Sus scrofa: one gene and its partners. The protein of the gene in region 1 binds, or shares a complex with, the protein of each later gene. Links are inferred from orthologs where the notes say so. Each region holds a gene or a part of one and is shown in the gene's direction. Other genes may lie near its edges.

Region 1 (3,866 bases):
TTCCCCCCTTTTTTTCGCTATTTTTAGGGCCATACCCGCAGCATATGGAGGTTCCCAGGCTACGGGTGAAATCAGAGCTGTAGGTGCTGGCCTGCGCCACAGCCACAGCAATGCAGGATCTGAGCCTTGTCTGCAACCTACACCACAGCTCACGGCAACACCGGATCCTTAACCCACTGAGCAAGGCCAGGGATCAAACCCGCAATCTCATGGGTCCTAGTTGGATTCATTTCCAGTACGCCACAATGGGAGCTCATAATTTCTTAACTGACCGTCTTTTGATACTCAGTTTGTATAATTTCCAATCTTTTGCTTTTACCAAACTTTGCATTGAATAACTTTGGACATTTGTCATTTCAAACATAAACAACTTAAGCTTGGCAGAGTAAACATATCCTAAAATGGAATTGCTGGATCAAAAGGGATAGGCATTTAACGATTTCAGTAGCTTTTGCCAGATTGTCCTCAGGAGAGTTTTCGTACCCATTACACTCCCAGGGTACGTCTCTTTTAGAGCAGTTTGCTTCTCTTTGGCGTTTGTCTGGGGAGTTGGCACTGGTGGGCACGGATAGCTGAATCTTCACTTGATGTCCTCTCTTCCTTTACAGCCTCCCAGCCCAAGGAGCGCCCTCGGTCTGCCGTCCTTCTGGCCGACGAAACCACTTCAGCCCCTGTGTTTGCTAATAGACGGTCCCAGCAGAGTGTCTCGCTCTCCAAGAGTGTCTCCATACAGAACATTGCTGGGTATGCGGGGATGTAAAGATAGCACAGTTGACATCTAGGTGACAAGAGCATAGTGATTATACTATGAAGAGATTTTTTTTTTAGAAAAAAAATGCATAACTTCATGAGGAGGTGCAGAGCTAAGCGATACAGATGGTGGAATGAGGGTTCCATTTTCATGCACCATCATCACCGTTTTGTAACAAAGATCCCCTATAAACATCATTTTCAGGCCAGTTGTCCCCCACTTTTTTGTTCATAATCAGCCCTGCTTTTAAAGAAACTACATTCTAGAAGGATGCTTTTTAGATCAAAGTTAAAAGTGGGAATAGGATAAAAGATGATTTAATTCTGAATTTTTAGTTGGCAACCATTTATATCTTAAGATGTCTCATTTTTCTGTTGGTTGGATGAACCTGGGCAGGAAGAGGGGCATAGTTTTGTTTTTTTTACTGTTTTCTGTCCTTAACTCCTAAGTCATGGGAATGACTGACGGGCTGGTATTACAGTAGTTTCCAGTCACTCATTTGCACTGAGTTCCTTTTGTGGTCCCTATAGAAGTTGCCGTGACCCCTGACTATTCAGGCCTCGGCTGTCTGTGGTTAGCACAGGGCTGATTATGATGTTGTTGGCTGTTTGGGGTAAGATGCCTGCCTTCCCATCAAGCAAAGAAGTCATCTCAAATGTAGGACTCAAAACATTTCTTGCAGCTCTCTTAACCTAAGCTGGAGGAAAATTCCCATCTGAAGGATGCAAATCTGCTTTTGGCTGTATTTCCTAACCTCTGTGCTGGCTAATGTTCCTTCCTCCTTTAAAAACAAACAAAAAAAAATTTCAGGTATTTTTATATTGTTTTTGTCTTTGTTTTGTAATTATCCAAAGGCCTTTTTTCAAAGTTATGTTATCAAAATTTGTTTATTATGACTTTTAAAAGTTGGCCTTAAATAAAATTTAGTTCTAAATGTTTCTGGCTTAGTTTTGTGTCATACCACAAACGTTTACTGGGTGCCTAATGTAAGGTCTTAAGATCCTCATTTAAGGCCACAAACCATGGCTCATCAGAATGTATTTGACAGTGTTTCTTTTTTTTTTTGTCCCCAGAGTTGGCAATGATGAGAACATATCAAACACCTGGAAATTCCTGTCTCATTCAACAGACTCACTAAATAAAATCAGCAAGGTCAATGAGTCAACAGAGTCCCTTACTGATGAGGGTAAGAGGAAGTTATGGCCTGTATCACATGCCTCTGAGACACGGTACCATTACCTAGAATGCAAGTGCTAATAGAATAATGAATGACTCCTGCCTCTTCCTTACTCATGTAAAGATTCTCTAAATTGTCTGTAAAGAAGTGCCTTATAAAGAGTTGGTAAACCAGCTGTTAGATAGCTCTCCACTGAAGAATGTGTGTCGTTGATTTTAATGTGGTCAGACTCTGGTACAATTGCTTTTTCTTCACCTAGACTCTGGTACCCTTTGAGTTCTAGCTCTCAGCACAGTTGTAAGCCTGTTCAAACAAGTAAAGTCATCAGGACCCTTGCAGTTCCTACTTCACGATAGGAATCATGTCTTAATTGTGTTTGATTTATGTGCCATTTATGGTCCTTAACCAAAGTCTTGAATATAAAGTATGTCACGCCCAAACAGAAAATGGCATTCTTTTCTAATAGAATATTGGTTCATCCTTGTGTTAGTGCAGAGTGTTTGCATCTCATGAAATTATCACCCTGAGGAAAGTTCAGTATAGGTTTTTGAGAGATCACAGATCCAAAATTCTGATGTTGATCTTTTGGTATTTTGAGGAGTAGGGACAGACATGAACGAAGGACAACTAATGGGAGACTTTGAGATTGAGGCCAAACAGCTGGAAGCAGAGTCCTGGAGTCAAATTGTGGACAGCAAGTTTCTGAAACAGCAAAAGAAAGATGTGGTCAAACGGCAAGAAGTGATTTATGGTGAGACTTCATTTGTTCTGCTAGTATGTGATTTGCATTATTTGCATTGTTTATCAGGCGATTTATTGGGCTGTGGAAAGTTGATTTTCCAGTATGTAGCCTAAGATTTTCTTTTAAAACTTTGAGGTATAAAGACTTGATATTTTTTCTTTAATTTTATTGAACATCTTATTTAACATGAGTTCTCATTTATGCAACAGTCCTAGAAAAAGATCTCTTGTGACAGTACAGTTTACTTCCTCAGCTACAGTAGAAACTAGACTAAACAAGTCATTTCTGAGAAATAAGAACACAGTAAATTATGAAAGGTCTTGAATCCAAGGAAGACCACTTTGGAAACTGGCATTTAAGAGTGATAGAGTCCAAAATGCCTGTCAGAAAGTAGTGTGAAGTCCCATGAAAAATAGAGAAGTCAAATGAAAACACTTCAGGGAGGAGACAGCTGTTGATCCAGTTTTAAAGTTTAAATTGGGTTCTAAGTAGCCTTAGGACAAAATGGGGTTCCCAGTAGCAACAGACACACTCTGAAGGAGCATCCTCAAGGAAGAAAGCGTTCTGGACTGTAAGCTTTGTCCCTCCTCCAGAGCTGCTGCAGACAGAGTTCCACCACCTCCGCACACTCAAGATCATGAGCGACGTGTACAGCCGGGGCATGATGGCCGACCTGCTCTTCGAGCAGCAGATGGTGGAGAAGCTGTTCCCCTGTTTGGATGAGCTGATCAGTATCCACAGCCAGTTCTTCCAGAGACTCCTGGAGCGGAAAAAGGACTCTCTGGTGGATAAAAGTGAAAAGAACTTTCTCATCAAGAGGATTGGGGATGTGCTTGTGCACCAGGTGAGCAGTAGGTGGGATCTCGGGTACTTCTCTCACGCACTGGGGGGCCCCATAACTGCGCATTCACATCCCAGCTCTGCTGCTTAGGATCTCTGTAAGCTGAGGCAAGTTTTTCAGTCTCGCTAATCCTCAGTTCCCTTTTCTTTATTTAGGACAGTAGATTGTCTCTTTTAATGCTATTTTAAAAGTTAAAAGATAATGTATATATACAGCACCCAGCATGCAGGGTAGATACCCAGTATAAGTCCATTTTTCTTCCTCAGAGGCTGTACCAACATCAGAGATACTATATAGTTTAAGAAATCAAAATAGTCCCAACTTTTCCCTATTGCATCAAATCAAATGGAACTCA
Region 2 (3,866 bases), about 56 Mb from region 1:
TTATTCCCATCTCCCCTTCACTGACCATTGTGTGTTTGTGGCATGTATTTTACATGTATCACTACTAATGTCTTTGAAACTTGGTGTTGCTTATCACCCCACACAGCCACCCTGGTCTTAGATTAGAAGGGGTGGTGTTTTGGAGAATCACCAGAACCTGTGACACAAAAATTTAACCTCTACCTTAAATGTATATCTCGGACATTTTATTTTGTCCAAAGTCAAGTCAGAATATTCTCCATCTATCTCAAAGTCATCTCCATTTAACCTACAAGCAAACAGGTTTTGGCCATTGGGACTTAAAAACAGTTCTCTGGCTGGCATCCTGGATCGAGGGGCAGTCTCTTTCCAGGGAGCCTAAATACTGAATGTCAAAGATGACGCTAAAACCAAAGGAAGTTTCTCTTTTCCACATGGCCCATCACTGGCTCTATGCCCACTAACCCTCATGCCATTCATGGAAGCATGCTTTAACACGCAGCCTCAGGCGCTGGCCTGGGGTGGGTGGAATGGGTGGGAGTAGGTTTTATCTTTGGGGGGCGGCTTTTTGGCCTTTTTAAAAACTTGAGTTGAAAATTATTTTTCACACTGGATGTTTAACAATGCCCTTGACTCGGCATCTAAGATATTAACCAGCTTCAGCAGATTATGCGTCTGACGGGAACTCCCCCAGCTTATCTCATTAACAGGATGCCAAGCCATGAGGTGAGAGCAAATAGACTATCCGAGGATATCTCATTGAGAAGGCCACTTTCTCACTTTATTGCCACTGGATAACCAGCACAGTTTTAATGTCACCGAATGCTTGCATGTGCCTTGAGGGCTACTAAGGCAGTAACTGCCTGTATTCTATTGCCCGATATTGACATTTGGGATAAAATGTCATCCAGTCCTTATGAATATAATTTGTAGGCTGGTACATGGAAAATGATGTTACTTTTATATTGGGGTTTTGTGAATTTAGTGCTCAGGAGGTTTGTGTTTTCCTAAGGTTCTGTGCCTGCAGTTAGGGTACGCTGCCATCTAAGGTTTTCAGCTGGAGGTGTATTAACTGAAGGTCATTAGTATGCTTTCCTGTTCATTCGTTTTTTTAATGACCAAAAGAAGAGTTCATTATTAAAAACAAAAACAGGAAACAAAAAATCTTGGAGTTCCCTTGTGGTACACTGTGTTAAGGATCCAGCGAGGTCACTGCAGCAGCTCGGGTTGCTCCTGTGGTGCAGGTTCAATCCCTGACCCAGTAACTTATGCATGTCAATGGCACAGCCAAAAGTAAATAGATAAACAAAATATCTAATGCTAATAAGTACTATATTTAAAAGAAAATATACAAATAATATAAAATAAATATGAACAGTTAGGGTTAAGTGCTTTTAAAAAAACAAACAAACAAAAAAAAACAAACGGTGCTGGAATTCCCTTTGTGGCTCAGTGGTTAATGAATCCAGCTAGGAACCATGAGGTTGCAGGTTCAATCCCTGACCTTGCTCAGTGGGTTAAAGATCTGGCGTTGCCGTGAGCTGTGGTATAGGTTGCAGACGCGGCTCAGATCCCGTATTGCTGTGGCCTCTGGTGTAGACCCCTTGCCTGGGAACCTCCATATGCCTCAGGAGCAGCCCTAGAAATGGCAAAAAGACAAACAACAAAAAAAAAAAAAAAAGAAAAAAAAGAAAAAACAGTGCTTAGCTACTTAATCTTTACTCTAGTTTTATCATCAGAGATGATTGAGCACTTCTTTCTACAGTGCCCTTAATCATACGGGGGATCATGTTGGCAACGCAGAGGCCCTTCTTAGCAGCTTTCTTTCTACTTCAGCTATATGCAAGTAGTCTTTATTTATCTTGTTAGAGGGAAGGCTGTTCTGTGAATGAGACGGGTCTCTCTTACCACTTACGTCTCTTGTCTGCACCCTCAAGTAGGAAGGGATTACAGGCATGTTGATACTCAACTCCTAAAGCTTTCTTTTCAAATCAGAAAGATTCTCAGCTGATTTTCAAAGTGGGCTTCCCCTGCTCCCTCTGCATGCAGTGACTAAGGAGGTGAAGCTAATAAGAGCTACAAGCTACCATGTATAAACTACAAGGATAGTTTATACAGCGCAGGAAATGTAGCCAATATTTTAAAAATAACTCTAAATGGAATATAATCTGTACAAATAATGAATCACTGTTATACCTGAAACTAATATTATGAATCAGCTGTGTCAATTTAAATTATATATAAATTTTTAAAAGAAGGTGAAGTTATTTTAGCAGCTAGAGCTTTTTCTAACCTTGTGTGTGTGTGTGTATACGTATGTACATAAATATATATACATACATACCCTTACTGTTGAGCTGTGTTAAAAAAGGAATTTTAGGAGTTCCATTGTGGCGCAGTGGTTAATGATCTGGCTTGTCTCTGTGGTGTTGCCAGTTCAGTCCCCAGCCTGGCACAGTTGGTTAAGGATCCAGCATTTCTGCAGCTGTGGCGTAGGTCACAAATACAGTTCAGATTTGATCCCTGGCCTGGGAACTTCCATAGGCCATGAGTGCGGCTGGAAGAGAAAAAAAAAAACCAGGAATTTTTAGAGAGATAGATTCAGAGAAGTTTTGTTTGTTTGTTTGTTTGTTTTTGCCTTTTCTAGGGCCGCCCTCGTGGCATATGGAGGTTCCCAGGCTAGGGGTCGAATCAGAGCTGTAGCCGCCAGCCTACGCCAGAGCCACAGCAATGCAGGATCCAAGCCGAGTCTACAACCTACACCCAGCTCATGGCAACACCAGATCCTTGACCCAGTGAGTGAGGCTAGGGATCGAACCTGTATCTTCCTGGATATTAGTCAGGTTTGCTTCCACTGAGCCACAATGGGGAACTCCGAAAGTCTTTAATGATTAGCAGACACATTCCTCAACACCGAAGCCAGTGGCCTTTGTCAGTTAACACTTGACAGGACCAGGACTCTGAGAGTGGTAGCAATACTGAACAAAGCCATTTTGAAAACCCTCTGTTTTGCAGGCAAGAAACTACATTCAATCTTTGACCCAGATGCCGAAGATGAACTTTGCAAATGTATTTATTGGTGCCAATCCCTTGGGTAAGTTGACTACATCCTCATCTCATGGATATTGGTTATGACATAAACTAGGGATTTGAAGAAGAGGGTTTCCTTTTGACCACATATAGTACCATTAATTAAACCTGGTAGGTGGTAAATAATGCCATCTGTTATCCATGTTTGTATTGTCAGGTTTTGTTTTGTTTTTAATCTCACGCCATGCTTATGTATTTATATGATCACAGAATTTGATGGGGAAATAGGCTGGTTCAGTGACAAAAGAGAAAGTCATGAAAATGTCAGGAGAAAAGGTTGAGGGACACAGACAGAAAAGGGTATGGAGGAAAGCCTGCAGCTCCTTCACTGCTGTCATCATTTTATGGTGTCCACACTGAGGATATAAACAACAGAAACACAAGGGTGTTTGGCAGACCCGCCCAGGAGCTCCCTGCAGTCCCTGCTCTGCCCACAGCTTCCCAGTGCTTTAGGTCCTGCTTCCCTTGTCCTCTTCTCCTTTTGCCCTTCAGAGACTTAACCAGTCTCTCTTCCTTGTGGAGGTAGTTTGCCACCCAAGACTGTAAGGAATGTCTCCATAGCATTCCTGCCACCATCACTTCCAGGATCTTTGGCAAAGGGGCAGGACAGTGGCAGCTGCAGGACGTGTACTGCCTTGGCTGATAAGAGGAGTTGCTTTATTCCTTAAAACTGGGGGCTGATGTGTACTTCTTTTGGTCCCACAGAGTGACATTGCTGAGGCCGTAATTCCTGACTCTAGCGGAAGCCAGTAGACAGTGCTGTTTAATGGCAGACACACAAAAATCAGACCAAGATC
Region 3 (3,120 bases), on another chromosome or scaffold:
TAAAGTCCTTACGGAGGAGAGATAAATTAAAAGTTTTGGGATTAACATATACACACTACTATGTATAAAATAGATGATCAACAAGGATCTACTATAGCACAGGGAACTCTACTCAATATTCTATAATAACCTATATGGGGAAAGAATCTAAAAAAGAATGGATGTGGTATAACTAAATCACTTTGCTGTACACCTGAAACTAACACAACATAGTAAATCAAGCATAGTGCAATCGAAAATAAAAATGAGGAAGTTCCCGTCAAGAACAGCAGGTTAAGGATCCAGCGTTGCTGCAGCTGTGGCACAGGTCACCACTGTGGTGCAGGTTTGATCTCTGGCTTGGAAACTTCCACATTCATTAGGTGCAGACAAAAAAAAAAAAAAAAAATTAAATTGAGAAAACAAGCAAACAAAAAAGTTCTTAAACCACAAACCACAAAACTTATTGTTTTCCATAACAAGAAGTCACAAGAGGTCCAGGGGTAGGTGGGCTCCAAGTGCAGTTAAGCTACTCAACCACGTTAAGGAGGAGACATGGACCTTCCCTTCTTTCCACTCTGCCATCCTCAAGATGTTGCCTTTGCCCTTGACCTTGCTCCTCTTATGTTCATAGTCATCACATACAGATACGATAATGCCCACAGGAAATAAGAGGTCAATCCCTTCCCCTGTTCTCATGTTTCCGAGTGAGAAAGACTTGCTTAGAACCCCCCTGCAGGCTATCTTTCAGGTGGCTTTGGCCAAAGCTGAGCACCTTGTCCATCACTATGTCTGGCTTGAACTAATCAAAGTCTGCCTTGGAAATCCTGTGAAATTAGATCATTATGATCATTATACAACTACAGATGTGATAAGTTCATTTGAGTAATTTAAATAAATAAATAAATAAATAGAATTTGGCCCAAAGCCTCAGAGTGAACTCATATATTAAAAAAAAAAGTCTGCCCTGGAGCCAGAATGTGGTCAGCTTCCCTGATGCACACAGCTCCGTGGAGGGGGTTGGACACTGAACAAAATCAGGGTTCTGTTGGAAGCTGAGAGTTCAGAGAGGTCAAGGTGAAGGAAAGAAGGTATGTGGTGACTGAATGAAACCTGTGAGGAGTGTCTGAACACAGGAGGTCACCTTATCTGGATGAGTCCCTCACCTGAGAGGCACGAGTCACCTGTGCAGAGCAGGGAGAGAGGCTGCTTGCTGGCAGAGGGAGGTGAGTGTGCTCTGATCCTCTCCAGAAGCTCCATCTGCACCAGCAGGGCCACAGTAGCTCAGGGAGGACACTGGGGGCCTCAAGCATGTGGGCAGCTCAGGACCTGGGAAAAACAAAGAAGATTCTAGGTGTAAGGAACTTGCTTATTCACTGAAATGGCTTACCAAATGGCTCTTGTTCCTTCACCATTTTCTTTAACCATAACGTCTTCCTATTTGCCATGAAGCTTCTTTTTTCATGCAGAAAACATTTCTCCTTCCTGAACCTCAGGAGCTTTTCTTTACTGGAGATACGAACCGCCTTTCTTCCAAACAATCTGTAGCTGTCTTGACCTTTAGAACCCAGTTTCTTTTATCTGCATTCAGGGTTCTCGAAGATGTAAAAGTACTGGTTGGCAAAAAGCCTTTTGTTTACTAAACATGCCCCTGCCATGCAAAGAGACCTCAACAGCAATTTCTAGACGTGACCACATGGCTACATGGGAAGAAGATGGGATTTAGTTGCTGAAGGACGTGGGATTATTAGCTGAATGTCTGTCTGTGGGTCCGGTTACCTGATCGCTCAAGGTTCAGGCTCCCCATTTATAGAATATTATCAGTATTTACCTGAGAAGGTTTTTGGAGGGTTAAATGAGAGACTGTAAGTAAAAACGCCTTTGAAATAGTGCCAAGCATATAGCATGAATTCAGTATGTGTAAATGCCCTTATTTTTTTTTAAAAAAGTATTTATAGGAGTTCCCGTCGTGGCGCAGTGGTTAACGAATCCGACTAGGAACCATGAGGTTGCGGGTTCGGTCCCTGCCCTTGCTCAGTGGGTTAAGGATCTGGCACTGCCGCTGTGAGCTGTGGTGTAGGTCGCAGATGCGGCTCGGATCCCGTGTTACTATGGCTCTGGTGTAGGCCAGTGGCTACAGCTCTGATTCGACCCCTAGCCTGGGAACCTCCATATGCTGCGGGAGCGGCCCAAAGAAATAGCAAAAAGACAAAAAAAAAAAAAAAAGTGTTTATAATAGTAAAGGAAATGTCCTTACACCTAGCTTAGAATTTCAATGAATGGTAACGCTTAGGGCTTCCCAAATAGGTTTGAATGATCCTGAGACAGGCTTATGAATGGGGCATGCAGCTTCACTATGGCTTGAAAGGTGCTTCTTTCCGTTTCTCCGGCAGGTGCCGACTGCCAGTGGTTAGACACTCTGAGGATGCGGCAGATTGCGTCCAACACGTCTTTACAGCGCTCCCAGAGCAATCCCATCCTGGGGTCACAATTCTTTCCCTACTTCCATGACCCGGACTCCTATGCTGCTGCTGTGAGGCGGACTCAGGTGCCCATTAAGTATCAACAGATAACACCTATAAACCAGTCCAGAAGCTCCTCTCCCACTCAGTACGCACTGACCAAACACTTCTCTTCTCTGCACCTCAACTCCAAGGACAGCAGCTTTTCCAGTCTGAATTCTAACTCTTTGGAGAGGGGGCGATATTCAGGTAGAAGCAGGAACAAATATGATCGGGGTAGCGTATCACTCAATTCTTCTCCCAGAGGAAGATACGGGGGGAAAAGTCAGCATTCCACGCCTTCAAGAGAAAGATATTCTGGAAAATTCTACAGGGTGTCTCAGTCAGCCCTCAACACTCACTCGTCGCCCGACCTCAAGAGGAGCCCCAATGACTCCCAGCAGCCCAGGACCATCCCGGGGATGCCCCTGCGCTTCGACACCGAGTCGAGAGCCAGTGAGGAGGAGAGCAAAGTCAGCGAAGGGGGCTGGACGCGGGTGGAATACCGCAAGAAACCCCACAGGCCCTCTCCGGCCAAGACCAACCGAGAAAGACCCAGGGGAACCTACCGTGGGAAGAGAAACTTTTGATGAATCGAATCCGTTGAGTTTTTCTTAGCCGGGTTTTCGGGGGTGTTTTG

Evidence for each region. The genes of interacting proteins can lie anywhere in the genome.
Region 2: AKAP13 (region 1) and MAPK14 share a complex: the UniProt entries of both Homo sapiens proteins name them as parts of the signaling complex. The link is inferred for Sus scrofa from reciprocal best matches to the Homo sapiens genes AKAP13 and MAPK14.
Region 3: AKAP13 (region 1) and MAP3K20 share a complex: the UniProt entries of both Homo sapiens proteins name them as parts of the signaling complex. The link is inferred for Sus scrofa from reciprocal best matches to the Homo sapiens genes AKAP13 and MAP3K20.

What each region holds. Positions count from the first base shown.
Region 1 is NC_010449.5:88,193,243-88,197,108, forward strand, and holds part of AKAP13 (A-kinase anchor protein 13), read left to right. Parts: intron 1-608; coding exon 609-744; intron 745-1,824; coding exon 1,825-1,937; intron 1,938-2,526; coding exon 2,527-2,679; intron 2,680-3,263; coding exon 3,264-3,514; intron 3,515-3,866. UniProt on the Homo sapiens protein: Scaffold protein that plays an important role in assembling signaling complexes downstream of several types of G protein-coupled receptors.
Region 2 is NC_010449.5:31,850,287-31,854,152, forward strand, and holds part of MAPK14 (mitogen-activated protein kinase 14), read left to right. Parts: intron 1-625; coding exon 626-705; intron 706-2,994; coding exon 2,995-3,073; intron 3,074-3,866. UniProt on the Homo sapiens protein: Serine/threonine kinase which acts as an essential component of the MAP kinase signal transduction pathway.
Region 3 is NC_010457.5:79,373,402-79,376,521, forward strand, and holds part of MAP3K20 (mitogen-activated protein kinase kinase kinase MLT), read left to right. Parts: intron 1-1,145; exon of another isoform or gene 1,146-1,308; intron 1,309-2,372; coding exon 2,373-3,070; 3' UTR 3,071-3,120. UniProt on the Homo sapiens protein: Stress-activated component of a protein kinase signal transduction cascade that promotes programmed cell death in response to various stress, such as ribosomal stress, osmotic shock and ionizing radiation.